7 linked regions of the Mus musculus genome follow. The main gene of each other region encodes a partner of the protein of the gene in region 6 in a complex. Links are inferred from orthologs where the notes say so. Each region holds a gene or a part of one and is shown on either strand. Other genes may lie near its edges.

What was found.
Region 1: Sf3b5 (region 6) and Sf3b4 share a complex: the UniProt entries of both Homo sapiens proteins name them as parts of the SF3B subcomplex of the 17S U2 SnRNP complex. The link is inferred for Mus musculus from reciprocal best matches to the Homo sapiens genes SF3B5 and SF3B4.
Region 2: Sf3b5 (region 6) and Sf3a3 share a complex: the UniProt entries of both Homo sapiens proteins name them as parts of the 17S U2 SnRNP complex. The link is inferred for Mus musculus from reciprocal best matches to the Homo sapiens genes SF3B5 and SF3A3.
Region 3: Sf3b5 (region 6) and Cript share a complex: the UniProt entries of both Homo sapiens proteins name them as parts of the minor spliceosome. The link is inferred for Mus musculus from reciprocal best matches to the Homo sapiens genes SF3B5 and CRIPT.
Region 4: Sf3b5 (region 6) and Rbm48 share a complex: the UniProt entries of both Homo sapiens proteins name them as parts of the minor spliceosome. The link is inferred for Mus musculus from reciprocal best matches to the Homo sapiens genes SF3B5 and RBM48.
Region 5: Sf3b5 (region 6) and Ppil2 share a complex: the UniProt entries of both Homo sapiens proteins name them as parts of the minor spliceosome. The link is inferred for Mus musculus from reciprocal best matches to the Homo sapiens genes SF3B5 and PPIL2.
Region 7: Sf3b5 (region 6) and Rbmx2 share a complex: the UniProt entries of both Homo sapiens proteins name them as parts of the minor spliceosome. The link is inferred for Mus musculus from reciprocal best matches to the Homo sapiens genes SF3B5 and RBMX2.

Annotation. Positions count from the first base shown.
Region 1 is NC_000069.6:96,171,019-96,175,305, reverse strand, and holds the start of Sf3b4 (splicing factor 3B subunit 4), read right to left. Parts: upstream 2,801-4,287; 5' UTR 2,733-2,800; coding exon 2,699-2,732; intron 2,336-2,698; coding exon 2,207-2,335; intron 1,766-2,206; coding exon 1,223-1,765; intron 984-1,222; coding exon 777-983; intron 1-776. Other genes in the region: Mtmr11 (myotubularin-related protein 11), read right to left, coding at 4,074-4,220. UniProt on the Homo sapiens protein: Component of the 17S U2 SnRNP complex of the spliceosome, a large ribonucleoprotein complex that removes introns from transcribed pre-mRNAs.
Region 2 is NC_000070.6:124,713,373-124,717,660, forward strand, and holds the start of Sf3a3 (splicing factor 3A subunit 3), read left to right. Parts: upstream 1-1,488; 5' UTR 1,489-1,522; coding exon 1,523-1,618; intron 1,619-1,896; coding exon 1,897-1,944; intron 1,945-2,279; coding exon 2,280-2,332; intron 2,333-2,437; coding exon 2,438-2,543; intron 2,544-3,078; coding exon 3,079-3,151; intron 3,152-4,288. UniProt on the Homo sapiens protein: Component of the 17S U2 SnRNP complex of the spliceosome, a large ribonucleoprotein complex that removes introns from transcribed pre-mRNAs.
Region 3 is NC_000083.6:87,024,099-87,028,360, reverse strand, and holds the start of Cript (cysteine-rich PDZ-binding protein), read right to left. Parts: upstream 2,801-4,262; 5' UTR 2,702-2,800; coding exon 2,686-2,701; intron 663-2,685; coding exon 597-662; intron 1-596. UniProt on the Homo sapiens protein: As a component of the minor spliceosome, involved in the splicing of U12-type introns in pre-mRNAs. Involved in the cytoskeletal anchoring of DLG4 in excitatory synapses.
Region 4 is NC_000071.6:3,593,748-3,598,047, forward strand, and holds the start of Rbm48 (RNA-binding protein 48), read right to left. Parts: upstream 2,801-4,300; 5' UTR 2,771-2,800; coding exon of another isoform or gene 2,642-2,770; 5' UTR 2,456-2,641; coding exon 2,219-2,455; intron 1,699-2,218; coding exon 1,508-1,698; intron 1-1,507. Other genes in the region: Pex1 (peroxisome biogenesis factor 1), read left to right, coding at 2,642-2,770. UniProt on the Homo sapiens protein: As a component of the minor spliceosome, involved in the splicing of U12-type introns in pre-mRNAs.
Region 5 is NC_000082.6:17,104,753-17,108,252, forward strand, and holds part of Ppil2 (RING-type E3 ubiquitin-protein ligase PPIL2), read right to left. Parts: intron 2,473-3,500; coding exon 2,427-2,472; intron 1,304-2,426; coding exon 1,241-1,303; intron 1-1,240. UniProt on the Homo sapiens protein: Has a ubiquitin-protein ligase activity acting as an E3 ubiquitin protein ligase or as an ubiquitin-ubiquitin ligase promoting elongation of ubiquitin chains on substrates.
Region 6 is NC_000076.6:13,007,303-13,009,683, reverse strand, and holds Sf3b5 (splicing factor 3B subunit 5), read right to left. Parts: upstream 1,235-2,381; 5' UTR 1,062-1,234; coding exon 801-1,061; 3' UTR 501-800; downstream 1-500. UniProt on the Homo sapiens protein: Component of the 17S U2 SnRNP complex of the spliceosome, a large ribonucleoprotein complex that removes introns from transcribed pre-mRNAs.
Region 7 is NC_000086.7:48,693,676-48,697,803, reverse strand, and holds the start of Rbmx2 (RNA-binding motif protein, X-linked 2), read right to left. Parts: upstream 2,801-4,128; 5' UTR 2,689-2,800; coding exon 2,684-2,688; intron 2,485-2,683; coding exon 2,369-2,484; intron 404-2,368; coding exon 352-403; intron 1-351. UniProt on the Homo sapiens protein: Involved in pre-mRNA splicing as component of the activated spliceosome. As a component of the minor spliceosome, involved in the splicing of U12-type introns in pre-mRNAs.

The sequences.
Region 1 (4,287 bases), on a different chromosome or scaffold from region 6:
ACAAAAGAAGAAGAAAATGTCTGTGAATACCCTGGAAAAGTTACTCAGTGAAAGTAGATGAGTCCCTGAGTCAGTGACAGGAAGTGAGTGCAGTCTGAGCACTGGCTTGTGACCAATGACAAAAACATAAGCTAGACTTGCTCTGCAAAGTGGAGGACAGAACAGACAAAGCCCCAGAGTTGTAAACTGGGCTCCTACAAGTGAGAACTACTGAAGATGGTGTCAGAAAGAGGAAAGTTAAGTGTGGGTTGAGCAGTGGCCTTTTCTAGCCTGCCAAGAACCTAAGACCAGAGACCAATGGTAAATTAGCACCTTCACATTTAACACTACAGAGAAACAAAGAAAAGAGAAACAAGCAAAAAATCTACACAAACATAAAAAAAGGAGCCGATCCAGGTTGCTATGGTTGACATTAGAGAAATCTAGAAACACGCACGCCTTTAGTCCCAGCACTTGGGAGGCAGAGGCAAGAGGATCTCTGAGTTTGACACTGCCAGCTACACAGAGAACCCGTTTCTCAAAAAGCCAAAAGCAGAAATGTCTTCTAGATTTGGCAACCTTGGAAGCAGAGGAGAGGTTGAGAGTTTTGCCCAGTACAAGCTATCCTTTAGGAAATACAAGAACTGGAGATAAAACAGGAGCACCAACACGTACAAAGTACTGTCTGTTTCTGAAGAAAAGGAGGACTCTGGACTATTTTCATCCAAGACTACCAGGACAGACAGTAAGAAAGCCCCTCTCACAAGCTCAGCTCCTTCCCAGCACAGAGCCCTTACCTGGATGGGGCATCCCACCTGGTGGGAACGGGTGAGGATGTGAGTGTCCGTGACCGGGATGTCCAGCCCCTGGAGTCCCTGCTGCTGGGGGGCCATGTCCTCCAGCCCCAGGTGGCATAGGTGGTGGGGGCATGGCTGGGGGAATCCCAGGAGGGAGGGCCCCAGGAGGTGGCACTGGAGGTGGAAAAGAGCCAGGAGGCGGCATGCCTGTGTAAGAAATGGAAGACAGTTAATGTCTTGCAGAGCTCCAGCCTCCCCCCTGCAGGCTTCCCTTCAGCTTCACTCCATCTGCCAACTTCATCCGCCAACTTCATCCCTTCCACCAGCACGCCTCACTCCTGTCTCACTGCCCAACAACTTAGCAGCTTACTCTACCAGGGCTGCTTCTGCCTCCTGAGCCTCCCTCCCAAGAGCCTCACTGGCACAGTCTGAACTCCAAGCTGTACCTGGTGGAGGAAGCCCAGAACCCAGGGATGAAACCACGGGATTGGGGGCAGAGGGCGGAGGGGGTGCATCGGCAAACAGCTGGTGAGGGCGGTCAGCCTGGGACAGCGGGTTCTGGGCTGCCAGGAGTCTTTCAGCTGCTGAGCCATGGCGTTCACCCTTAGAGTCCTTCTTGAAGGCATAAGACACAGTGATAGGACGGTTACACAGGTACTGCCCGTTCATGGCCTCAATTGCTGCATCCGAAGCATCGAAGGAGGCAAAATTAATGAAGGCGTAACCCTTGGAGTTGCCTGTGTCAGGGTCCCGCATGATCTTGGGGGTCTGTAGGATGACTCCAAAGGCGCTGAAAGTATCGTAAAGCAGCTTTTCATCAATTTCTGGGTCCAGATTTCCAATGAAAATGTTGGCTCCCACATCCAGGTTTTTGTTGTGAGCTGAGGCCTTGTTCACCCGTATTGGCTTTCCATAGAGTTTGATCATGTTCATAATCTTAATGGCATAGTCGGCATCTTCCTCGCTCAGGAATTCAACAAAGCCATAGCCTGGGGAATCAATGAAAAAAACAAAACAAAACAAAAAACAAACAAACAAAAAAAACCCATCATTCAGGGGAAGAGACTCAAAATGAAACATTAACTCCCCAGCCTTCAAACACAAAGAACATAATAGATAATAGCTGGGCGACTGCACGTGCACGTGCTTTTAATGCCACCACTTCGTAGCAGAGGCAGGTGGAGCTCAAAGATCGTGACCAGCCTGGTCTACAGAGCAAGATCTAGGACAGCCAGGACTACACAGAGAATGGTTGAGAATGGTTCCAGAAACTAGAGCTAAGAGAAAATATTCCAGAAACTGGGAATTGAAGCTGAAGGAGAAAGCAATCTTTAGGTTGCTCATTCCAAAGGCGCTGTGCCTAGCGGCTGAGCCTCTTCGGGGCCGGTTAACCCTCTCCAGGGCTGATTCCTGCCCCGTACCCTACTCACCCTGGTGCTGGCCAGTGACTCTGTCCTTGGGCATGTGGGTGTTGACCACTGGCCCTGCCTGGAGAAAGAGCTCCCACAGCAGCGGCTCACTCACTTTCTCGTCCAGACCGCCCACGTACACCGTGGCATCTAAAGGGAAGAAGCAGGCGATGAGGAGTCGGCAGTGAAAAAGAAGACAAAAACCAAAAACCGTCGCCTAAAGCCCTGAAATTCCCTCTGCCACCATCATCTAGAAAATCTGCTACGTCTAATTTGGCATTCTTGCTGGTCCGGTACTCCCGGGAGGCTTTTGTCTTCTTGGTGGAGGGAGCTGATCTAGAAGCATCGCTTCTCACAGGCCTCGGCCTGCACCCGGCCTCGCGGCCAGCCAGGTGCCCAGAGGTCGGTGTCCCACCGGGGGGGATCTCGTCTACCACCCCAGGGGGAACGCTTCCGGCACTAATCTTCCCTCCACTTCCCTGCTCCTATCTTGGGCTCTTCTCTCCCAATTACCCTGATTCCGTTCGGAGATCGGTCCGGCAGCCATGGCGAAGGGGCTCCCGCCGTCTCTAAGCAGCAGCACCGCCCCCTGACCTCAGTTACAACTTCCACTTCCGGGCCAAGGCTCACGTTGGGCGGGGCCGGCGCCGGGGGGGGGGGGAGGAGCCGGAAGCGATCGCGGCCATCTTAGGGGTCGGAGTCTTGTCTTTCGGAAGGGAAAGGCGCTCTAGGGCTGCTGCTGTAGTCGGGGCGGAACGGATGTGCTCAGCCCGTCTCGACACAGTTAACTAAAGCCCCGGATGCTTCCAGACTGTTAGAGGCTCACACGGCTCCCCAAACGCACATTCAAGTGCAAAACCAGGCTTTGTACGTTCTGTGACGCAGAGTTGTGTCCTAAGTGCAGGGCCAGGACTGCCTTCTGGAGCGACCTATTATTTAGTGAGGTCCACGACGCTCGTGCAGACTCGCCCTCGGCCTAGACTTGAGCCTGAGGTATTTTGTTTTCCCCTAAGTGTCAAATCTCCGCTTATCTTGGGAAATCTGGGACACGAAACCGGGTTGGGTTGCGGGCTGGTATCGAAGCTTTAAGGAGCAGACATGGATCTCTTGAGTTAAAGGCCAGCCAGGTCTACAGAACGAGTTCCAGGACAGCCATGGCCACACAGAAAACCTGTCTCAAAAAACAGAGTTCCAGCTGGCCTAATAGACACATAGAGACCATGTCTCAAAAAAGGTGTGCGGACCCCTTCCCCCATATTTTATGTGTATTTCTTCCAGGCCACGCCTGACTTGGATCCTTTATTTCCTTACAATAATTTGGGTGTTTTTCTCAGTTCACACCCTCCCCTCCACCCCCACGGCTTTGCTGAGATCTTCATTCAACACAAGAAAATACCAGCAATGTGTAGAAATACTGTGCTTTAATGAACTCCTTAAATAGAAACGCTGCTATGAAAATATACAGTGGGAGGAGACGGTTTCTCCCTTATTCACCTCGTTCCCACAGAAGACTAAGAAAAGATTTCAAAGTAGTGTAGAGAGGTTGCGAATGAGGTCTCTAGGACATCATTGTTGGGACTGATGAAAAGGGTCTCTCATGTCACAGTTTTGACGGCCATCCAAAAGGTACAGAATTGCCTGGGAAAAGGGGCAATCACATTCTGAACTGGTCTTGTTTCTTAGTTTTCAAATCACAAGAAATGAAAATAGCCCCAGAAATCAAACAAATCGGGAGACCTTTAGGTTGGTAGCGCCACCATCTGCTACAGAAACGGGCCTTCTAAGTGAACTCTGCAGACTGGAATGCCAAAGCTGAGGCGTCAAGGTCAGACAGGAAGATGAGCAGAGACCCCTGCCCTGCCTCTGAGAACGACGCTAACAAACAGTTTCAGCAGATCTGAGAGAGGATGGTATTCGGATCTCTTTTCTTGCTCTGGTCCTCGGGAGATATTCTTGGTGTCCATTGTCTTAACAGTTCCTGAAGGTGAGAAAGCTCATCCTGAAGGGCAGAGACTGTGAGAGCTGAGGAGCCCATCTGGGGAGGGGCAAAGCGCACAGAGGAAGACTGTTACAGGGCTTGCTTCCTGGTTCCTTTTTTTTCC
Region 2 (4,288 bases), on a different chromosome or scaffold from region 6:
ATATGTGTGTGTATATATGTATGTGTGTGTATGTGTGTGTATATATATATGTGTGTGTGTATATATGTGTATATGTATGTGTGCATGTGTGTGTATATATGTATGTGTGTGTATGTGTGTGTGAATGTGTGTGTATGTATTGTATGTGTATGTATATATGTATGTGTGTATGTGTATGTTTGTATGTGTTTTGTTTGTTTGTTGTTTTGAGATAGAGTCTTATCACATAGCTCAGGCTGAACTTGAACTTGTTCTCCTCTTGCCTCCATCTCCTAAGCGCTAGGATCACGGGTGTGAGCCACTTTGCATTGCGCCGATGCCTCTTTCCTGGTGCATGCACTGTCACACACTTGTAATCCCAGCTCTCTATACTGATTCACTCTCTGCCCCTACTCTGTTTGTTTGTTTGTTTGTTTGTTTATGTTTCGTTTGGTTTGGTTTCATGAGACTGGATCTCTATGCAGCCCTGGCTGTCCTGGAACTCACTATGTAGACCAAACTGGCCTAGAACTCACAAAGATCTGTTTGCCTCCACCTTCTGCCTCTTCTGCCTCTGCTTCTTCCTCTTCCTCCTCTTTTAAGGAAAGGCAGTCTAGATTTCATTTTCTAAGCCATACAGTGGCTAGGTGTGGTGGCTCATACCTGTAATTCCAGCAAGTGGTAGGCGAAAAGCAGAAAAATAAAGAATTACATGGAATTGGGGCTGGTGAGATGGCTCAGTGGGTAAGAGCACCCGACTGCTCTTCTGAAGGTCGGAAGTTCAAATCCCAGCAACCACATGGTGGCTCACAACCACCCGTAATGAGATCCGATGCCCTCTTCTGGTGTGTCTGAAGACAGCTACAGTGTACTTTACATATAATAAATAAATAAATCTTTTAAAAAAAAAAGAATTACAGAGAATCAGAAGTTAACCTGTGCTGAACAGCAAGCATATCATTGCTTGAGTGTACCACGTTTTTCTTAAAGACTCCTCTGCCAATAAACAAAGGTTGTGTTCAAATATGTATGAGTTTTATTAAGAACAAACCCACCACCATCTCCACTTTACTGACAAACACACTAAAGTCCAGACAAGGGGAAAACATCACCAGAGGTCACACACTGAAAACTACTGCTGCTTCCAGTTCCCCTTTCCGTTCTGTATCCTTCAACTTATCCGTTCCTGCTAGTGTGTCCCTGCCGGCCCAGCTTTCTGCAGCAAGCCCCGGGCAAGCCAGCTGTCTCTCAACCTCAGCCTACAGGATTCTTGCAGGCTTCTTAGAGACAGCCAGCTTTCAACGCGGAGGCAGCGCTCCTTCAGACCCCCAGCCAGCAGGGGGAAGCGTAGCCACGGTCGCGGATAGCACCCGCTTGCTCTCTTCGTGGTGTTCCTTTTTTCTTGAGTCCCCCAAGACACTTCCGGGACACGCGGAACTTTGGTGCAGCCGGATGCTGCGCGCTGAGACGCTGGCTGAAAGGCGGCAGGCGGTGTTTCCGGCAGTGTTAGTGGTCCGCCTTGAAACGCCGTGGCCAAGGGAAAATGGAGACAATTTTAGAGCAGCAACGGCGCTATCATGAGGAGAAGGAACGGCTTATGGATGTTATGGCCAAAGAGATGCTTACGAAGAAGTCCACGGTGAGTGAGCCGTGGTCCGGGCCGCATCAGGAGGCGGGCCTGGGTCCTTTGCCGAGCCCTCGCGCTGTATTTGGCCTCGGAGCTTCTCTGCGCCCCATCCTCACCCTCCTCCTAAGCTGGCTCGGCACTCTGGCCTCGTTAACGTCCTCCGAGGGCCCCTCAATCTTCCTGCTTCAGCCCCTGGGACCTAAACCAATAAGCGCATCACCCCTCGGGTGCTCTTTCCAACTGCTAAACTCAAAGTAACAACGTATGTGTTACCGTTTGCCTTTCTGCAGCTTCGGGACCAGATCAATTCCGATCACCGCACTCGGGCCATGCAAGATGTGAGTGCGCCGCCGTCCGCTTCCCCTGGGGTCGGGCTGGGCGGGAAAAGTGCAGGCTGGGAAGGTTGAGTGGCCCTGCGTGATTTCTACCCCTGAGTTCTTAGACAAGCCCCTCTAGGGTACCTAATCAGATGTCCTATCTCTGCCTCCCAAGTGCTGGGATTAAAAGTGTATGCAACCACCTCGGGATCAAGCTGTCTCTTAAAAGTGGTGGAACTTTGAAGACCATGTATCTCATGAGTTTTCCTTGGGTTTTGCCAAGACATCCTTTCTTGTTTACTTAGCCCTGTGGTACAAATTTGCTTCATTCTGATGGCTTTGCGCTTCTGTTTCAGAGGTACATGGAGGTCAGTGGGAACCTGAGGGATTTGTATGATGATAAGGACGGGTAAGTGACGGTCACATCCCTTCTAACAATTAGTGCTTTTGAGGAGCCCTGGTGAGACCATGGGCTGTGTGCTTTATGCTCTTCGGGTTTGTTGATATCTTGCAGACTGCGGAAGGAGGAGCTCAATGCTATCTCAGGACCCAACGAGTTCGCTGAATTCTATAACAGACTCAAGCAGATAAAGGAATTCCATCGGAAGCACCCAAATGAGGTAAGGCCTCCCAACTTAGTGTCCTTAGACCTGGCCGTTAACAAAAGGGAAAGATGCAAAGGAAATGGAGCTATGCCATGTAGATGTCACTCCAAGAAAGAACGTGCCACTTCACTGCATGTTAAGTGACATCCTCTTGGCATCCCTCTGCAGTAAGAGAACACGGTGAAGCACTAGGGCTGCTTCACAAGAATGTCTCCTACTCAATATACTGTGCACCTAGCTCTGCCCTGAAATCTACCAACACAGTGGTGCTCTGTTCACTTGCAGAGGTCGTTACCCCTTCAGGATTCATGTCCAATGCCAGCTTTTTCGTAAAATATCTCTTGGACTGCCTCCTCCAAAGGAGCCCTTCCTTAGCATGCTGTGTTTTGTGCCAATCAATGTCTGCCCGGCTATGCAGCAAGGGAAGTGGAGAACACTAAGTAGGCAGCTCTGTACACTCAAGGTCAAAGCCAAAGCAAGTCTTAGAAGCCCAGGCCTGTGTGTGCCTGAGACATCGCCAGGCCCACCTGAACTCTTCTCCTTCCCTCAGATCTGTGTGCCAATGTCAGTGGAATTTGAGGAGCTGCTGAAGGCTCGAGAGAATCCAAGTGAAGAGGCACAAAGTAAGTAATGGTTACTGTTTCTTCCTGGGGCTTCAGGCCATTCTCAGCTATAGAGCTAGGACCTATGGCTTGGTTTTTTTTGTTTTGTTTTGTTTTTCAATCTGTTTTTATTTTGTCTGTGTGGGTAATTTGCCTGCATATATGTTTGTATACCGTGTGTGTGTGTGTGTGTGTGTGTGTGTGTGTGTGTGTGTGATGGCCTCAGGAAGCCAGGAGAGGGAATTGGATCCACTCCGACTGGAGTTACAAATGGTTTTGAGCTACCGTGTAGGGACTGGGACTCAAACTCAGGTGCTGTGCAAGAGCAGCCAGTATTTCTAAATGCTGAGCCACTTCTCTAGGTCCTAGAACGTCGTGTCTCTAAAAACAAATAAATAAAGGCTGATTGTGGTGGAGTATACATTTAATCTCAGCTCTCAGTAGTTCTCTGAGTTAAATAAATGCCAGACCTTTTATTTTTTTAATTGTATGGTGAGTTAACATCTTTTTTTTTTTTTTTAATTTGTTTATTTGTATCTGCATTGGTGTTTTGCCTACATGTATCTGTGTTTGAGGATGTCAGATCTCTGAGTGGAGTTACAGACAGTTGTGAACTGCCATGTGGGTGCTAAGAATTGATCCCAGGTCCTAATGAAGGCCACTCATTGCTCCTAACCATTGAGCTATCTCTCCAGCCCCATTTTTTTGTTTTGTTGTTTGTTTTGATGTGACAAGGTGTCTCTGTATAGCCCTGGAACTCACTCTATAGATCAGGTTGGCCTCGAATTCAGAGATGGCCTGCCTCTGCCTCTCTAGTGCAAGAATTAAAGGCGTTAAAAGTGTGTACCACTGCCCAGTTTGCTTTCTCTCTTCTTTTCTTTTCTTTTCTTTTCTTTTCTTTTTTTTTTCTTTCCTTTTCCTTTCCTTTTCCTCTCCTCTTCTCTTCTCTTCTCTTCTTTTCTTTTGTTCTTTCGTTCTTTCTTTCTTTCTTTCTAAAAGATGGGATCTCAGGGCTGGAGAGTTGGCTCAGTGGTTAAGAGCACTGACTGCTCTTCCAGAGGTCCTGAGTTCAATTCCCAGCAACCACATGGTGGCTACAGTATGCTCATATAAAGATAAGTAAATCTTTTTTTAAAAAGAAAGAAAGAAAAAAAGGGA
Region 3 (4,262 bases), on a different chromosome or scaffold from region 6:
TTATTGTTCAGTCTTAAAGTAGTGCTTTGACAATGCCTACACTCTTTTTGTATGTGTAACATCTGTCTACTTTGGTTTTTTTTTGTTTGTTTGTTTGTTTTGTTTTGTTTTTGTTTTTCGAGACAGGGCTTCTCTGTATAGCCCTGGCTGTCCTGGAACTCACTTTGTAGATAGACCAGGCTGGCCTCGAACTCAGAAATCCGCTTGCCTCTGCCTCTCAAGTACTGGGATTAAAGGCATGCATCACTGCACTGGGCTTTGCTGTATGCGTTTAATAAAAAAAAAAAGTAAGGCAGTCTAAATTTGTTTGAGAATGTAAAACTTAGATGTGGGAAGGAAATGTAAACACAGACTTTACCAATCTGAATCAAATAGACATACATTGAAATAATAATTTTACTACTTCTTGACTATATGAGGAATCCGTACATGTAACTCAGATGATGAAGAAAGATGTGCACTCCCAGGAGAACCGAGCCCTCGGTGTTTACTGGGCAAGGTAATCAGCATCTAACACTGCACTGTGCAAAATGTGACGCACCAGAGCAGGGCCACAGCGCTTGACCCAGCTCCTGTCTCCTAACAGCAAACAGTACCTGTGGTGTTCCGGGCACCATCTTTCCATGTGTCTGGAGTGATAACTCTGCCGAGTTTCTTTTCACCTGTGGTCGCCAAGACAGCAAAAGAGAACAGCTGTCATCTAATAAGCAAACTGTGTGGAAATAAAATAACAAAACCCATTTCTTTGCTAACTTTACAATAATAATTTAAAATGATAAATATATTGTATCGCCTAAAGTACATAACGATATGAAGTCAGATTATAGGAGGAACCTACTAATGCCAGGGTAGAAACCAATGAATGAAAACTTAAGATAGTAACAGTGGGCAACAGATACTGGTTCTAAATAAAACTTACAGGACAAAACGATGCTCTAGTAACAGGCTTTAACTGATTATACTTTAAGCAGTTCTGACAAACTTATTCATTCCTCTCTCTCACATTCTCTAATCACCTAGTCTGTACAAAGCACCATGCAAGGTTCTGATGAAAACAAAGCAATTTAAAATGATAAATATATTGTATTTATATGCTCCAAATGGACAGTTACTTAGTACTGTTTAAGTAGGGCACTGTTCAGGGTGGAGAAGAGCACTGGATGCTCAGTGGTATGGATGTGCCAGCTGAGGCCAAACAGTCCTCAAACACCTAACAGAACAAGGAAAAGAAAGCACACTGAAACCAAACTCCCTGGAACTCAGTAAATGCACAACTGGAGAACACGTACGTGCCAAGTTCTAAGAGGTAACTCTAAAAAATTGGAGAAAAGTAACTTTCTCGAATAATGTGTGATACAAGGGAAGACTGAACTGAGGCGGCTGCTGACATTACAGCTTCTGTATGCAAGTACCTCAGTTTACTTACGGGGTGCATGCAATGAGCAGACAGACTGAGAGGCTACAGATAATAAGACCTTAGATTTCTCAGAAGAGCAGAGGAAATGACCTTTCAGGGCACAGCACAAAGGACGGCTTCACAATCTAAATACATTTAAGCCACATTTAATTAACCATTTATCCCACTTTCGAAAAGAATAAAAAACCGTTTAAGAATGGCACAGCTCTGGAGGGGTGTCTGTGTCCAGAGTTCTACATACTGAGGGGCTATGAACAAAATGGGTCCTGTATATCCGCCAGTAACTGAGATGTGGGTTGAATCTTGTCAGAGAAGGCTGTCTAGCCCATGAAAGAGATCAAGAGAAGAAAGTTGTTTTTAAACGAATCATCAGCTTTTGCAGCTACCAAAAAAAAAAAAATTAAATATTTACAACAAATCTTAAGGGTTTCATTGGAATTACTGAATGGTAACTAAAAGGGTTAAAAAGACCTTTCTAAAAGCCAGGGGTGACTACTTAAAGATTTCTTTGGTGGTGATGAGACTCTCTCCTTCACCTGACCCAAAGCTGTGAGTATTAATGAATTGACGGGATGGCTCAAAATATCCAATTTAACTTAATTTCAGATAGCCACTGAAGTAATTTTTAAAATAAAATCTAGCCGGGCGGTGGTGGTGCACGCCTTTAATCCCAGCACTGGGGAGGCAGAGGCAGGCGGATTTCTGAGTTCGAGGCCAGCCTGGTTTACAGAGTGAGTTCCAGGACAGCCAGGGCTACACAGAGAAACCCTGTCTCGAAAAACCAAAAATAAATAAATAAATAAATAAAATCTGTATTAAATGCGGCATGTTTTGTAGTAAGGAAAAGCAGAAAGTCAAGATTTAAACATTATTCGGGACATATTAATAATACTGGAAATTAACCATTGCTTATAATCTTAAGATGTAACCGAGAGCCTGGAACTTATACTTGTGACATCTGTCAACTCTTGATGCTACCAGAAAGATCGTGAAGATCCGATTTAAGCCTCCGAGAGCCAATCAAGAAGTTGTAACGGAGGAGACCCAGAAGGGGCGCGAGGACGACAACAGAAACAAACACAAGAGGCGCAGAACTGAAGCCATTCTCAACACAGAGCGGAAGGCTATGCTTACGGGACAGGCAAGAAGGGCCGAGGGGCAGGGTAGGAAGACACCGGTTACGCCACAGACCAGCAGGGGAAAACCAGAGAAATCCCGAGAGAACTTCTCAGCCCTCCACCTCCCCCAGAAGCAGCCCCTGAACTTACACTTTTCACACACCATCCTTACATGGGGGTGTCCCTGTGCCCTCAGCCGGCAAAGCAGGAGCAGCAACCCAAACACAACAACGCCCCAGCGGAGACGACTTCCTCTTCCGGCTACGTCAGCCCGCTTCCGGACTCTCAGCCCTCCCGCTCCGGCCTATCCCGTACCTAGAAAGTCGCGGGAGGGATAAACGCGAGCTGATGGGCGGGGCTGCTCTCATTATCCCGCCCCTTCTCGTCAACGATTGGCTGTGCGCTTGTGAGTTCCCCCCGCCCCCTCGCTTTCTGGTCTGCGCCTGCGCCAGGGGCCATGCCAGCCTGTAGCACCTGAGGGTGGGAGGCGGTGGTGTCCCCCTTCCCTTCGGCGGGCGGGAGAGTTAGGTAAGCCGGTGGCGGGTTGCTTCTCACACTCGCCCGGGGCGGGTGCAGGTCGCACCGCCGACCGCTGCGGTGACTTCCAGGGCGCCACGCTTCCGGCGGACCAGAGGATGCCCTGCGCTACCGACCCTCTGAGATGCCGGCGTCTATCACAGTCTCTCAGGGGACTCCGACCTCAGGTCACCGGGTCGGCCGCACGGGCTCTCTCTATGATGGCGACCTCCAGTTGCCCACACTGCGCCGTCCGAGGCTGGGACGGAGCCACCTGGGTGGGGTGGAGCTGCGGTCCGCACCTGAGCAAAGGCTGCTCAGGAGGAGGGCTCGGGAGCAGCCAAGCCTTCCGACCCCGTTCTCACGGGATCGCGAGTCCCGAGGGCGGCTTCCCAGGTGTGGTGTCCTGGGTCGGGGACTCGCTCGCCGGTGTCACCTTTGCGTTTGGGTACCGCTCGCGCTCGCCGTGTTAGATGGGTGTTTGCCGGTGGCCTAGGATGGATTTCTGATCGCGCTTCCTGCCTGACCCCGCAGTGGAAGGGAGAATCTGAGAAACTTTCCCCAAGTCTTTTCACGGCTATGCGTTCTTGTCCCGACCCTGGAGGATTTCTTCTTGTTTAAAGAGGCGATGCTTGAAATGGCTTGTGCGTGTGTAACCTTGGCCGTATCTGCTAACTTGTTCATCCAGTTTTCTTAATCAGTATCATTTGCTTTTGAAAACGATAAGTGTGAATGAAATGAGGGCTAATAGCACCATGCCCAGACTTGCGCTTTTACCTTTCCTGCTAGTTCCTCACCCTGCGGTGTGGATGTTACTTTTTGGGCCCGATTTTTACTACATTGTAACATGTGTTACTTTTAAGTTCTTAATTAACTTTAGTCAGTATAACATAGAAACTGTTCTCTAGGTCAAATATATGTATTTAGAGACTGGAAACTATTGTTTCTCCTCCCACTCGCGTTCTGCTATTACCATTATTTAACATCTGTACAGACAGTGTGAGCCCTTAGTGTAGCATAATGACCATCTTAAGATGGTCCTCCACCATTTGCATATCTAAGTGTATACTTGGCTGTCATTTGGGAACTGCAGTGATTTTCGCCAAAAAAGTAAAATTAGTTGCTGGTGTCTGGCACATGTCCCCTTTGTAGAAACCAGTCACAAATATTTAAATTTTTACAGGAATTTTCTTTTTGAGGCTCTGAAAGAT
Region 4 (4,300 bases), on a different chromosome or scaffold from region 6:
AAAAGAGCACTTGCTGATCTTTGAGAAGAGCAGAGTCAAATCCCAGCATCCATCTTGGGTGGTTCACAACCACCTGTAACTTCAGCTCCAGGGGATTTGAAGTCTTTTTCCATACCAAAAAAAAAAAAAAAGTTTATGAATAGCAAAAGCCAGAAAAAGATATGGTTTAGATAAGGTTAGTGATTAAAATGAAAAAATGGCTAACATGAGCTAGGAAGGCTGCTCCGGTGGAAAAGCCCTTGCTGGAGTGCCTTGGCTCAGACCCCTGGCATGCACGTGAAAGCCAGGCACCGCACTGTGCCTGTAATTCCAGTGCTCACAGGGTAGAGATAGAAGGATCACTGAGTTTGACAGTCACCAATCTAGCCAATGAGCTCAGTGAGGGAGGGGCCCAACCTCAAAAAATAGGATAGAGTACACTGTAGTGCACACAAGCCTTTGAACCTGGTGGAGATGGGTAGGCAGAGTCTGGAGGAAGTTTTGAGTTCTAGGTCAGCTGGTCTACACAGCCAGTTTCAGGCTAGTGTTCACTCACATACACACACACACACATACACACACAGGAATATGCACACACATGCACCCCCCCCCCCCCCCGCCAAAAGGGGTTAACATAAAATAAAGCATTCCTTATTGGAATACAAAGTTGATTAACATAGAACTATACAAATAAGAACTGTCATTACTAATAGTTACTTTTTGTTTGTTTGCTTGTTTTTTGGAAACAGGGTTTTCTCTGTGTAGCCCTGGCTCTCCTGGAACTCACTCTGTAGACAAGGCTGGCTCCACCTCAAGAGGTCCACCTGCTTCTGCCTCCCTGGTGCTAGGATTACAGGCATGTGCCACCTCTGCCCGGCTCTACTATTTCCTCTTAATAGGAGGTACCAGTCTACTCCCTTTACATAAATTGTCCCATTTCATCCTTGCTCAGTGAACCTCAAGAAGTAGTCCTTTTTGCCATATGGATTTTAGGAAAAGAACAAAAATTTGCTTGGAGGACTAAAATTCTCCACAGTCATGAATCCACAGGACTGATAATTTACTTCAAACGTAATTCTTAATCTACCACACTACAGGTTCAAAATTTGCCAAGCACAGGTATGAGAGGATGGGAAGAGTATTGTTGTAAAGTCAGCCTTTTAAAAGCTTGAAGGAAGAGCTGGGATGTCACTCACTGTTAGAGTGATTAAGTCGCAGATGTGAGGCCTGGTGAAAAACAAACTGGAAGGCGAGGTGGAGTGGTGCATACCTTTAAACCCAGCACTCGAGAGTCAGAGGCAAAGGCAAAGGGATCTTTGAGTTCAAGGCCAGCCTGGTCTACAGAACTAATTCTAGCACAGCTAAGGCTATCCAAATAAACCCTGTCCCCTCCCCTCCTCCCCCCAATCAGGAAGACTGAGAGCAAGAAGTGCTTCTGTGCTTTGGGTACATTTGGGAAACAGTTGGGGCCAAAATGACAGCAACAGGAATAAGATTTTAACAGGAGTTCTGCTTAACTTGTACATACCTTGCACTCTGTAATTTCACAAATTTAATGAGATAAACTTCTGTAAAATCTTCCGCTGGGTATTCATCTAGAGCGTTATACTGTTCAATCGCACCATACAGAGCAAAACGCTCAACTAATTCCTTCATGGCTCCCACTGCAGGAACTCCTTGTATTAGTAAGTACTGAGACTCCAAATTGATTGTATATACCTAAAGTCAAAGGAGACCTCGTTAAATGTACTCTTCAAACAAGCCTATGGCAAATCGGTCCTCCCACCCCCTTTTAAATGGAGCTTTGAAAACAAGAAACAATCCGGTCTGCAAAACATACACACTAAACTGTCACTCTTCTGCCTAAAGACTACCACACTCCACATAAGGGTATCTGACTAAACCACTTAACAGACGTCTTTTCCAAAAGCTGACTCCAGAGAGGTTAATGTAAACAGCCACTGAACACTCACTCACCCTGGGCTTGCCCTGTGAGAAGCGCTATTGTAAACACATAGGATACAAAGCTAAAAATAGTGGGTTGGAGGTTTGGTAAGCAGCTAACCGAGGGTAGTGATAACCTTTGGTACCGGGGCCCGGGTTCTTCGTGCCCCCTCCACTTAGAGATGGATCTCACAACATCCCTGCCATGCCTTTATGGAGGCAGGCCTTGGGGAGCTAGTGCTCACAGGAATTTAGTGTCCCTGCCGAGGGGAGAGAAGAATCCGAGTCACTCTACCTTGACCGCGCGAGGGCGTCGGCCCTCCCGGTATTTGGCCCGCGAGTCACACACAGCCGTCTGGACGTGGTGATCGAATACGCCACCAGGTTTCCCGTCACTGGATGCCATCTTGCCGGCTCTAGTCCCCCGCGCCAGAACAACATCCGCCAGCCGCGCTCCTCTGAGTCCAATAAGAGAGCAGGATGGACCAGGCGTGCTAGGATTGGCTGAAGGATCGACCCCATCGACGATCATCTCCTGAGAGCGAGAATTCGACGAGCGACGTGCCGCCCCCTAGAGCTTCGGAGGTGGCCCGAGGGTGACAGCGGCCGGGCGTGGGAAGAGGGGGGCGGGCCTGATCGATGTTCTCGGGTTCCGACGCTCTCACCTGACGAGAAGCCGGTGGACTCCGCTCTCCGGTGAGAGTTGAACCTTGGGACAATGTGGAGCAGCGATCGCTTAGCGGGTGCGGGGTCTGGTGGGGCGGTCGTGACGGTGGCCTTCACGAATGCTCGGGACTGCTTCCTGCATCTGCCGCGGCGCCTCGTGGCCCAGCTTCACCTGCTGCAGGTAACGCGCTGGCGGGACGCGGACACCACTGACGTCTCGTGGGACTAGGGTCAGCTGACACCTTTTCCTGCAGGGACATCGTCTGCCACCGACCCCGAGCTGAGGCGTGAGCGAGGGCCCCCTGCGGGCATGGCGTGGAGTGGCAGCGTGTGCATCCACACCACGGCTAGTGTATCCTCAGACCCTACCGTGGAATTCCTAGTGCACCCCTTTAACTCGGTTAAAGCAAGCTGAGCATGCAAGGGTTCTGCCCCAGCAGTCAGAAGCGGCCCTCACTCAAGGATGGAAAGTTCTAGAGAGCTCTTACAGGTTTGCTTACAGGTTGCTAAAGCATTATCCTGCCAACGAGTTGCCGGTGCAGCGATAGAGGTGTTGAGTGGCAGACTTGGTTTGTAGATTACCAAGGTTTCCAACCTGTGCGAAAGGTTAATAAAAGGATAGATAGCTCTCCCTGCTCCGGAGGACTTCGAACATAGCAAGAATATGTGCGGCGAGGGAGGTGGGGCGGGGTGACAAGGTGATGGAATTATTCACACCCCACACTTTCACCTCGGTAGCTAGGATTACTTGGACCTCAGCGAGCTGTCTGGATTCTGTCATTATGGTGTTTCAAGGCTATTAACCATCGGTGGAAATACAGCATCCATATTTTCCTAAGAGTGAGCAGAAATAGACTCTCTTAGTTTGAGTGTATTCATGGGGTTAGAGTATTTGAAATCTAAAATCCTAGATGCATGGTACCTGAACACTGGGTCATAAAAAAAATATACAAGAGTTTGAAATGACTTCAAGTATTCTACCTTTATTTCCTCTTTGCTACATTTATCTTGCTTTTACAGTCCACCTATCAGAACACACCAATTTCATCAGAACCATTCTTACTGTTAGTTTATCTCCACCAAATATTCTCTAACTCTCTGGTTTGCTTTCTGGTGACTGAAAGGAATCATTCACTGTTACCAAATCCCAGCTTGGATCATTATTCCCTGTCATTTCTGATGGGGATTTTTCAGTGTATTTTCAAATCTCAAATTAAGCTTACCACCCCATGAGTTTAGAAAAATGCTTCCTTATGGTCGCTAAGAATTTGAACCTGACATGTTGTTGCTTCCTTGGATTCATCACTGTTTAGGAATTACATAGTCTTGGTCTTTATTATTATTTTTATTATTATTTGAGAAGTGAAGAAGTAAAATACTAAGCATTTGGATTAAGTCTTGCATGCTTATATCTAATCTTTATTGTTTATAGAAAGGTGGAGCTAGATACACATGAGGTTTCCTGTCCTGGTTTTTTGTTTTGTTTTGTTTTGTTTTGTTTGTTTTTTTCGAGACAGGGTTTTTCTGTGTAGCCCTGTCTGTCCTGGAACTCACTTTGTAGACCAGGCTGGCCTCGAACTCAGAAATCCGCCTGCCTCTGCCTCCCGAGTGCTGGGATTAAAGGCGTGCGCCACCACGCCCAGCTTCCTGTCCTGGTTTTGTGTAGTATTAATATGACTTTTGTTGAGAGGTCATTGCTTTTAGCAATTAC
Region 5 (3,500 bases), on a different chromosome or scaffold from region 6:
TGGCAGTAAGCCAAGTGTGGTGTAAGCTTAGCTACTTGGGAGATGTATGAGAATGGGAAGTCATTTGAACACAGGCCAGGGCACTACAGTGAGACTCCCCCACCCTCTGCACTCACCAAAGAAATCTGTGCACAGGGCTAAGAGGGCATAATGATGATCCTGGACAGTGACGTCATTGGGGTAAATTGTTCTATTCAAGTATTTTTTTATTTTTTTATTTTTATTTTGCAAATTTTAGAAAAAAATGTAGGATGTAAAACAAGCTTAGCTGGAACATGCAACAGGGTGCAGTGCATCAGAGTGCAATGCAGGGGACTCTGCATCTCTCACCATGCAGAGACCATCCAGCACACCTCTACTGCACATCTGTAAGCAGCTGGCCTCTAAGACAGGGGGGAGAAGGACTCACTCCACTGCAACAGCATCTGCCAGCTAGTGCTGCCTGAGGCCTGGTGGTCCCTCCCAGTTACCAAACAGGCTCACCTAGATGTCATGAGATTTCTAGGGACAAGATTTTAGTAACTTTGACCCTGCTTAGAGCCACAAACTCTATATTCCTTTCTCTAATTGGTATCAAGAATCCTGTCATATTTATTAAGTCAAAATTAAATATAGAGTGCTGGGGAGACAACTTAGTGGATAAAGGACTTTCTCCACAGCACAAAAGCCTGAAATTTGTATTCCATCCAAGAACCCATGTTAAAGCCAGACACAATGAGGCTGAAGAGATGGCTCAATGGTTAAAAGCAATGACTGCTCTTCCAGAGGTCCTAAGTTCAATTCCCAGCAACCACATGGTGGCTCACAACCATCTGTAATGGGATTTGATGGTGACTACAGCTAGTGTACTTAAATAAACAAACAAACAAACTAACTAAAAAAAAAACCAAAAAACAAAAAACTAAAGAAAAAGAAAGCCAGCTAAAGACAGCACCTATCTGTAACTTTAGTGGGAGCTGGAGGCATTGAAACAGGTGGAACCGGGAGCCTGCTGGTCAGCCAGTCTTGCTGACAGTGCCAAATTCACTGACAAGGTCTTGTCTCAAAAAAATAAGATGAAGAACAACAGAGAAAGCCCCATGAGATTGACCTCTGGCTTCCACATATAAATGTATCTGAACACAATTGCACATACACAAATACCATGCACCTGGGTGGGCAGGCACACACACACACACACACACACACACACACACACACACACATAAAAAGAAATTTAAAAATTCAAGAGTAAACTCACAGCAAGTCAAAGACGACACCTTCTGGGGTGCAGACTGGGTAGACAAAAGGCTGGAGAGAGAGACTGAAAAGAACAGAAACCCCTCGTCAGCTTCTAGGCACACTGAGCATGCTCTGGGTCCCACAACCTGCTCCACAGTTCTGAGTACCCTCTGTCCCTGACACCACGTCATAAGGATAAGCTGCTGTCCCAGGAGCTGCCTTAGTACTTGAGGCAGCAGCAGCCCACTTCATGTCACATAAGAGGTGCCTCATGATGGCCTTGAGGAAGCAAGCTGGGATTCCCTCTCCAGACCCTCATAGAGCAGTCAGACTAAGCTTCGCCCCGGGGCATCCTCCCCGTCCCAGGGTTTAATGAGGCCCCTGTGGTACTGTCTGTACACCACCCTGACGTATGCTGGGCACATGGACTGGGGTGGAGGCCTACAGCAGCCTCAGCTACCACAGCTACGCTTCACATGTGTCTGCAGCTGTGAGCTGCCTGGGCCACTGCTGATCGCCCTTTCTTGGTCTCAAGCCTTTAGTTCTAGTGTTCTCGAGGCAGAGGCACGTCAGTCTTTTTAAGTTTAATGAGTTCCAGGTCAGTCAGAAGCCAGAGCAGAAAACAGACCCTACCTTAAAAAACAAAACAAGGGGCTGGTGAGATGGCTCAGGGGGTAAGAGCACCCGATTGCTCTTCCAAAGGTCCGAAGTTCAAATCCCAGCAACCACATGGTGGCTCACAACCACCTGTAACAGAGATCTGATGCCCTCTTCTGGTGCGTCTGAAGACAGCTACAGTGTACTTACATATAATAAATAAATAAATCTTTAAAAAAAAAAAAAACAAGCACTAGAGAGATGGTCTAGCAGTTAAGAGCACTGACTGCTCTTCCAGAGGCCCTGAGTTCAAATCCCAGCAACCACGTGGTGGCTCACAACCATCTGTAATGAAATCTGATGCCCTCTTCTGGTGTGTCTGAAGACAGCTACAGTGTACACACATATAATAAATAAATAAATCTTTTTAAAAAATCTATGCAAATATGCAAGGATGGCAGCCTATAATCCTAATACTTGGGAGGTAGCAGCAGGAGATTCAGGAGTTCAAGGTCAGCCCAAGCTGCAGTTAAAACACACACACCTGTTTTGGGAGAAATGATACTCAACCAAAGCCAAGGGAAAACAGAAGGATTTGAAGCTCTCACCTGCAGTGGTCAAAAGGTAAGCGGCGAAAACTTGTCTGTGAGATATCTGTTAAAGATGAAATAAAAAACAGATAACCTATTTGGAAAATATTTCATCTATGTATACCTACCATTAAAACTACATTACTACAGCAGGCATGGCGATGCACTCCTTTAATCCCAGTACTTGAGAGGGAAGCAGAGACAGGTGGAACTCTGTGAGTTTGAGGACAGCCTGGTCTACAAAGCGAGTTCCAGGATAGCCAGGACTGTGCACCCAGAAACCCTGTCTCAAAAAACAAAAGACAAAGCAAACAAAAACAAAAACAAAGCTATATTACTATGAATTAAATTTTTTATTGCTGTTGTTTCGAGAAAGAAGAATGTATTATGTGTTACTAGAGATCAAACCCAGGGCCTTATATATGCTATATGCTAGTTTCATCACTGAACTATACCTCCAGGCCCTAAATTAAGAATCTTTTGGTAGTTGCTAGCCAGTGGTGCCACTCACCTTTAGTCCCACCACATGGGAAGCAGAGGCAGGCAGATCTCTGCATTCAAGGCCAGCCTGGTATACAATGCAAGTTCTAGGACAGCCAGGGCTACACAGAGAAACTCTATCTTGGAGAAAAAAGAAAAAAAAAATCTTCTGGTAGGGTTCAGAAAGATGGCTAGGCAGTTAAGAATATATTCTGCTCTTATACAAGACTTGAGCTCAGTTCTTAACACTCACATGGTGGTTCACAACTGCCTGTAACTCACCAGGGAACCTAACACCTCTGGCCTCTAAGGGCAGGTATCTATTCATGCATGCACGCACACTCACACACCTCAAAATAATAGGTGCTAGAAAAATGGCTCAGTGGCTCAGTGTACTTCACTGGAGGTAGAGACGGAAGCAACTTACTGACAAGCCAGTCTAGCCCATCATTGAGCTCTAGGTTTAGTGACAGACTCTTGTCTCAACACAAGATGAGCTGAGAAGTGAAACACACCTTTAATCCTAGCAGTTGGAGGCAGAGGCAGGTAAATTTCTATGAGTTCAAGACCAGCTCAATCTACATAGTGAGTTCCAGGGCAGCCAAGGCCACA
Region 6 (2,381 bases):
TCTTGATTCCTTAAAATCTGTTCTCAAATGACATCTCAGTAAAGTAGCATTGTAAGCATGGTTTTTAAAGTTGTAAACTCTTCAAGCTGGCATAATGTATGCCCTCAAACCTTTGGAAAATGCTCTGGTGAAAAGGGAAGAGGGGTGGGGGGAATGGGGCGCTGAGCAGGATGGGGACGTGATACCACTTGTTTGCCAGTTTATCATTTCTGAAGACACAAAGGGTAATCATCAAGAAAAAGGGGTAAGGGGTAGCGCATAAAGGGAAGGGTAGGAAAGGGATATGGGCAATCTCCGCGCTTCAAGGTTTCTTTGGGACCAGACACACTGTACGCGTGAAGACTATTGAGGTGGGATAATATCATAAAAGTGTGTGTGACGACTTAAGGACTTGCCCTGTGCTTCTGCCCCCATTTCCTATTTATACTCTCACAAAACCTTGATCCACAGAACCCTCTCCTAATAACCTCCCAAAGAACACAGCAATCCATACCAAAGAATAGAGCAAACCCTAAACTTTATATATATATGGTTTTTTAAAAAGGCAAGAAGACATCAACTATCGAAAAGCAGACTCGAAATGCGCATCACTCTCGTGCAGTCTTCTCCCTCGCTTGCCGATGCTGGGATCACTCCTTCTGCACAGTTCACAAGGAGCGGACCCGGACAGTCTCTCCATGACTTGTTCCGAATCCTCCACAGGTACGCAGGTCAGGCGACACAGCCAACACGGAATGGTCGAGATGCAGGAGCAAGGAGGCTCGCAGCCGGCACACGGGGAAGACTGGGCAGCGCTCACCTCAGTTCTCCTCGGGCTTGTCCGCGGGCGGCCCGCTGGGCTGCAGCATTTTCTCCATCAGGTTGAACCGCACGCGGGCTTTGCTCTCGTTCTCGGCAATGGCGAAGTAGTTGAGGAGGTCGAAGTGGCCCATGTAGGAGCAGTAGGAGTCGCGGTGCTGGTTCACCAGCCATTCCCACTTGGTGGTGTCGGCGTGGCCCGTGCCGATGTACTTGGACTGCAGATGCTCCAGCTGGCTGTGGATGGTGTACCGGTCCGTCATCGCGCCGCTCTGCTCGTAGGCTCCGAGGTCAGGACACAGACGAGAAGCTGCCGCTCGCGGCGTTCAAGTGAGAGACGCTGCCGCTGCCGGTGCCGCCGCCGCCACGCAAAACCTCAGTTCGTGCAGGCGCGGGAGAAAGACGCCACCGAGACGCAGGAGTAGACAGTCTTTTCCTAGGCGGAAGCGGAAGTGCCGTCTGTCGCGGGATTGGAGTTGCCTAGGAAACACTGGGCCGTCTCCTCACGGAGCCCGCCTACTTCGAAGAGTGTTGCATGATGGTCCGCTTAGTGGCTCTCGGGTGATCACGTTCTAGTCTGAGCGTTGCATTCTGGAACAAGTAGTCCAAAGAGTTTGTTTTAGGGTTTTGTTTTGTTTGTTTTGTTTTTGCCTGGCTGCTGTAGGACGATGGCAAACGGCCTCTGAGAGTTATCCCACGGCTCTGGGCTACTAAGAAGGGGAAATCCAAGAGGGTTTCAACTACAAGCAACCAGGAAAATTAACTCTTGTACCTAGAAGCTAACGTGGCAGCATGGTTCCCCCGCGGTCCCAGCTTTGTCTCTTAGAATTTGGGCACTGGGAAAAGTATTTTTGGTGATCAGTGTCAGCCCCAGTAGTCTCACTAATGGCTCCCACAACGAGCTCCAGGCTCCCGTTTCTCAACCCATTGAGGGGTTGTTTGCTCTAGGTCACTCAAAAGCTATTCCTTGAAGTCAGATGTGGTTCAAGACTAGATAGATAGATAGATAGATAGATAGATAGATAGATAGATAGATAGATAGATAGATAGATAGATAGATAGATAGATAGAAAGAACACCTCTCTTTCTAGTCACCTGTGTTTTTCTGCTGATTACTGCCTTACGTTGGGGGTTGTGCACTTTCTCACGTTACAAACAACTCAGAAAAGATAATTGTACTTCTTTTATGGTATCCCTTAAGGATACATGTATAGCCTGATGTAGATTGTACTCTCAAAAAACCATTTTAGGAATGGGGTAAGAGCAGTCACAGCCAAAGAGAATGGACAATGACAGACAATTTGAAAATACAGGAGTTTGGGGGTACTTTTGTTTACTTGGTGGGGGGAGGATCTGGCCCTGAGCTCACAGCAATCCTCCTGCCTTTGCCTCCTGAATGCTGGGATTAGAGGTGAGTTCCGCTCCATCCAATATTAATTCTTCTGTTTAAATTTTGTCATAATAAGCATCATGCCAGGTGGTGGTGGCACACACCTTTAATTCCACCACTTGGGAGGCAGAGGCAGGCAGATCTCTGAGTTCAGGGGCAGCCTGGTCTACAGAGCTAGTTTCAGGACAGCCAG
Region 7 (4,128 bases), on a different chromosome or scaffold from region 6:
GACAGACTCTCAAACGATCTCAGCTCTGGGATCTCCCATGGGGTAACTCTCTGGGACTGATCTAGGGTCTAGCCTTCCCCATGGAGGGATGTCATTAGACATCCCTAGAATTAAAATAGCTTTGGTGGCTTTTTGACGCAGGATCTCACTTAGTTGTGCAGGCTGACCTGGAATGCATTATGGAGCCTAGGCAGACCCCAAGTGATCCTCCTATCTCAGGCACTTGTCTAGTGGCATTAGAGGTGTACAACTCCACACCCAGCTTGAAATGCTTTGTTGCTGTTACAAAAATACACTATGGAAGCAAACTGTTCCATGCATCCAGGAGATAGGAACTAACAGAGGACTTACTGTGAGAACACACAGATGATGTCGCCTTCTGTCAATTCATAAGGAAGCCCTCCTGGAAGAAAACACACATTCTCCAGTTTAACAAGCATTAATCAAGCATTCACTGCATGCTATGCACTAGGCCAGACACTGGAGGTGCAGATTAAACAAGCCTTGATCTGGAAATTATCAGCCTAATACAATGACAGAGTGGGTACGATGACAGTTGTCTGGAAGAAAAGTCATTAGCTCTCAGATCCCTTTGAGTTCGAGGCAAGCCTGGTCTACACAGTGAGTTTCAGAGCGAAACTGTGCCTCAAAAAGAAAAAAAGAAAAAGAAAAAAACTAATTAACTCTGAGGGGAAAGGCTAGGGTCATAAATTACCAAATTAATCTTATCATTGAGTCTTCATACCCAAAGTCCTATAAAGCACATGATTTCCAGCACAAGACTCAGATTTCATAAACACTGACTTCAATACACTGTTACTGCCCCCCACGTGCAAACTAGGATGTATCAAGGAAAGTGCTAAGCGGTTCACAGGAAGCCTTTCACATGTTCCTCAATGTTCTCCTTCATATGCAAAAAGGGGACGTTAACATATTTGCCTCACAGGAGTATTATGGAAATAAACTAAAATGAGGCATATAAAGTGCTTAACACAATCCCTTCAAAAGGCAAACTGCGGGATTTTGGTTGTGACATAAAGAGAATACACGAAAGGTAATATTGTCCCCAGAGACTCAAGAGTTCCCCTTTTACAAAGGCTCTCAGTCTCTAATCTTGGTAAAATAATTCTAAAACAGACTAAAGGGCAAGCTTGAGGTCCATTGTGTTAGCATTTGAGGGAGAGCTGATAGGGAGGCAAGGTGTAAGATTCGCCAGCTACCGGGAGGAGGAGGGAGGAGGGAGCTACAGAAGGGTTGGCAGCCATGCCTTCAGAATTAGGAGGTGGAGCAAGCAGGAGTGCACAAAAATGGGGACAGAGCAGTAGCCGCAAAGGGACAGGAAAACATTTAGATGTGAGATGAGAAAGCCCAGCGTGTTAGGGGCAAGCAGGCTCAGGATTTCCGCCAGCACCCAGAGAACAGAAAGAAAGGGAGAGGTGGGGCTCAGCGAGGCCTCAGAGCAGCAGGTAGACTTAGGGCGGACATCAGCACCACCTGCACTGGGGATCATTTCCCTCCCGTGTCCCTAGCGTGTCTGGCGGTGACTGAGCTTTCCTGACAGGTGTCTACTGGCCAGATGACTTAAAGCTCTGTTGGATTATGTCTGAAGGAAGGGGCACACTAGTATGTAACATGTAGGTTTCCTGAAAATGTCCTGGTATCTACCCAGGGCCAGGGGTGTACTCCAGACTCTATTCTTTTCATCAGAAGTAGCTTTCCCTGATCCTGTCACATTTTCAGGTGGCCTTTCAAATGTTCAGCCGGAGTAAAGCTAATTTTGAATCAAGCCTTAATGTCTTCAAATCCAGCTAATGTCTGACCAGGTACATCACGGTACAGCTAAGGACTAGGAGCAGAAGCCCAGGAGAGGAGAAAAATCATTGTGAGGAAGGGCAGACACACACACGATCGGTATGTGACCGTGACGAAGAGCACAAGCCCCACAGTTTTGAAGTGCTGCAGCATGTGACCTTAAGCAAGTCCAGTAACCTGTCTGCGCCTCCGTTTCTTTGACATCGTGATAGGTTGACTGTGGAATGAACTGTCTCTGAGCAGCCAAGTAGCAAGGTTTTGAATAGAATGAAAGGCAAATACCAATTCTAAGAAGCGCTGAAGGCAACTGAAAAGTGGACCTGTGAGCAGAGGAGCTTCCAGAGTGTGAGGTGATGAGCTTGTTCAGAAGCGATGACCAGGGGCACTAAATAACCGGGGGAGGGGGCATAGGGAGGAGAGGGGAAGGGGTGGAGAGAGGAGAGGAGAGGGATGAGGAGGGGAGGGGAGGGGAGAGGGATGGAGAGGGATGGGGAGGGGAGGGGAAGGGACGGGGCGGACTCTGAAAGGCACTGCTGGAGAAAAATGGGGACCTCACCAACAAAGATCCAGGCGCTGTGCTTGTATTCCGAGTGCCAAGACACCTTTTCCGCCACTCCAAGTTGAACCTCTCGCTCATTCAGTTCATTGATCAGCTTCACCTTAGTCAGAGGGCTGCGCGGGTGGCAGGCAAGCCGGTAAGTGCGATAAGTACTTTTCCTCCCAGCCCGCCCTCTCCCTACCGAGCTTCTCCCGCCCGGAGGCCCGGAGGGCGAGGACCGGTCCCCGCCCTTTCTGGGCGGCCATCCTCAAGCCACTCTCCCTTCCGCGGAGAACACTCCCGCCCCTATCCGCAGAGAAACAGAATCCTTACTTCATATTCGCATCTTCGCGCGGCTCGCTTCAGACGACAACAGCTTCCGGGTGAGGCTCCAAAGCGCTCCCGCGACCCGAACACCCAGCTCAGATTGGAGCACGGGGCCCGCGAGGCGGAACTTCCGCCGGAAGTTCCGGCCCGCTAAGCCCTGGCGCCTGCGCAGTAAGGTGAAGGTGCTTTCTCAGGCATTCGCTCCTGTGGAGGGACAGTTCCCAAGTCAGTCCCCGCCCCCTTTTTGATGGAGAGCGATGGGGGGACCCTGTGTTCCTCTGCCAGTCGGAATTAAATGCCCACGTATAAACAAGCAGGCAAAAATTAGCATTGTCAAACTAGTACCTATCAACTAAAGAGTTAGAGAACTTAAAGGTTGTGAATGAGAGACAATTTATGCACGTTATCTCTGTTAGATCTCAAACCCCAGGCTAAGGCTCACACCATTGGCTCCTCCCAGCACTCCTCACCCTGCCCCTACCCTAAACCTCTGCCTCCCAGGGGGCGGCTCACTTTCTGCCATTTGCATTTTTCATTCAATCTCTTGTTTGTTTCCTTGTGTAGCCTTAGCTGTCTTGGAACTCGCTCTGTAGACCAGGCTGACCGCCCAACAACCCCATGAAATACAGTTACCATCCCCATTTTACAGAGGAAAAAAACTGAGCTTCAAAAAAATTAGCTTGAAGGTCTAGAGAGGTGGCTCAGTGGTTAAGACCATTTGCTGATTTTTTTCCAGAGAACCTGCACCCAAAACAGGTGGCTCACAACTCCAACTTCAGAAGATCCTCCTCTGGCCTCTGTGGGCACTTGCACTCACATAATTTCTGTCTTCTTCAGATAGAAATTCAGTTTTTCCAGCATATTTCTTAAGTAGGTTATTTTTTTCCCAATATATGTTTTTGCTTCCTTTGTCAAAAATTAAATAGGAATAGCTTTGGCATTTTATTCTGGATTCTCTTATTCTATTTCATTGATATTAATGTCTACTTTTATAGCAATACCAGGCTGTCCTTATGACTATAGGTCTATAGTAAAATTTGAGGTCAGGTCCTATAATGCTATCAGCATTGTTCTTATTCCTTGGGATTTCTTTTCTACCTATTGTCTTTTGTAGTTCCATATCAATTCTTGTGTTATTTTTCTAAACCTGTGAAATACATCAGAATTTTGAAAGGTGTTGCATGAAATCTGCAAATTAATTTTGGAAGTATACCCATTTTCACAATATTTATTCTACCAATTCAGAAGCATGGAACTCTCTTTTTCCCCCTGAGACGTGGTCTCACTATAGAGCTTGTGACTCTCCTGGCATTCACTTTGTAGAGCGGGCTGGCCTGAAATTCACAGAGATCCACCTGTCTCTGCCTCCCAAATGTTGTGGTTAGAGGCAGTATGGAACTCTTAAGGTAAGAGACAACATGTAATATTCTCTTTTGAGGCTGATCAGAATA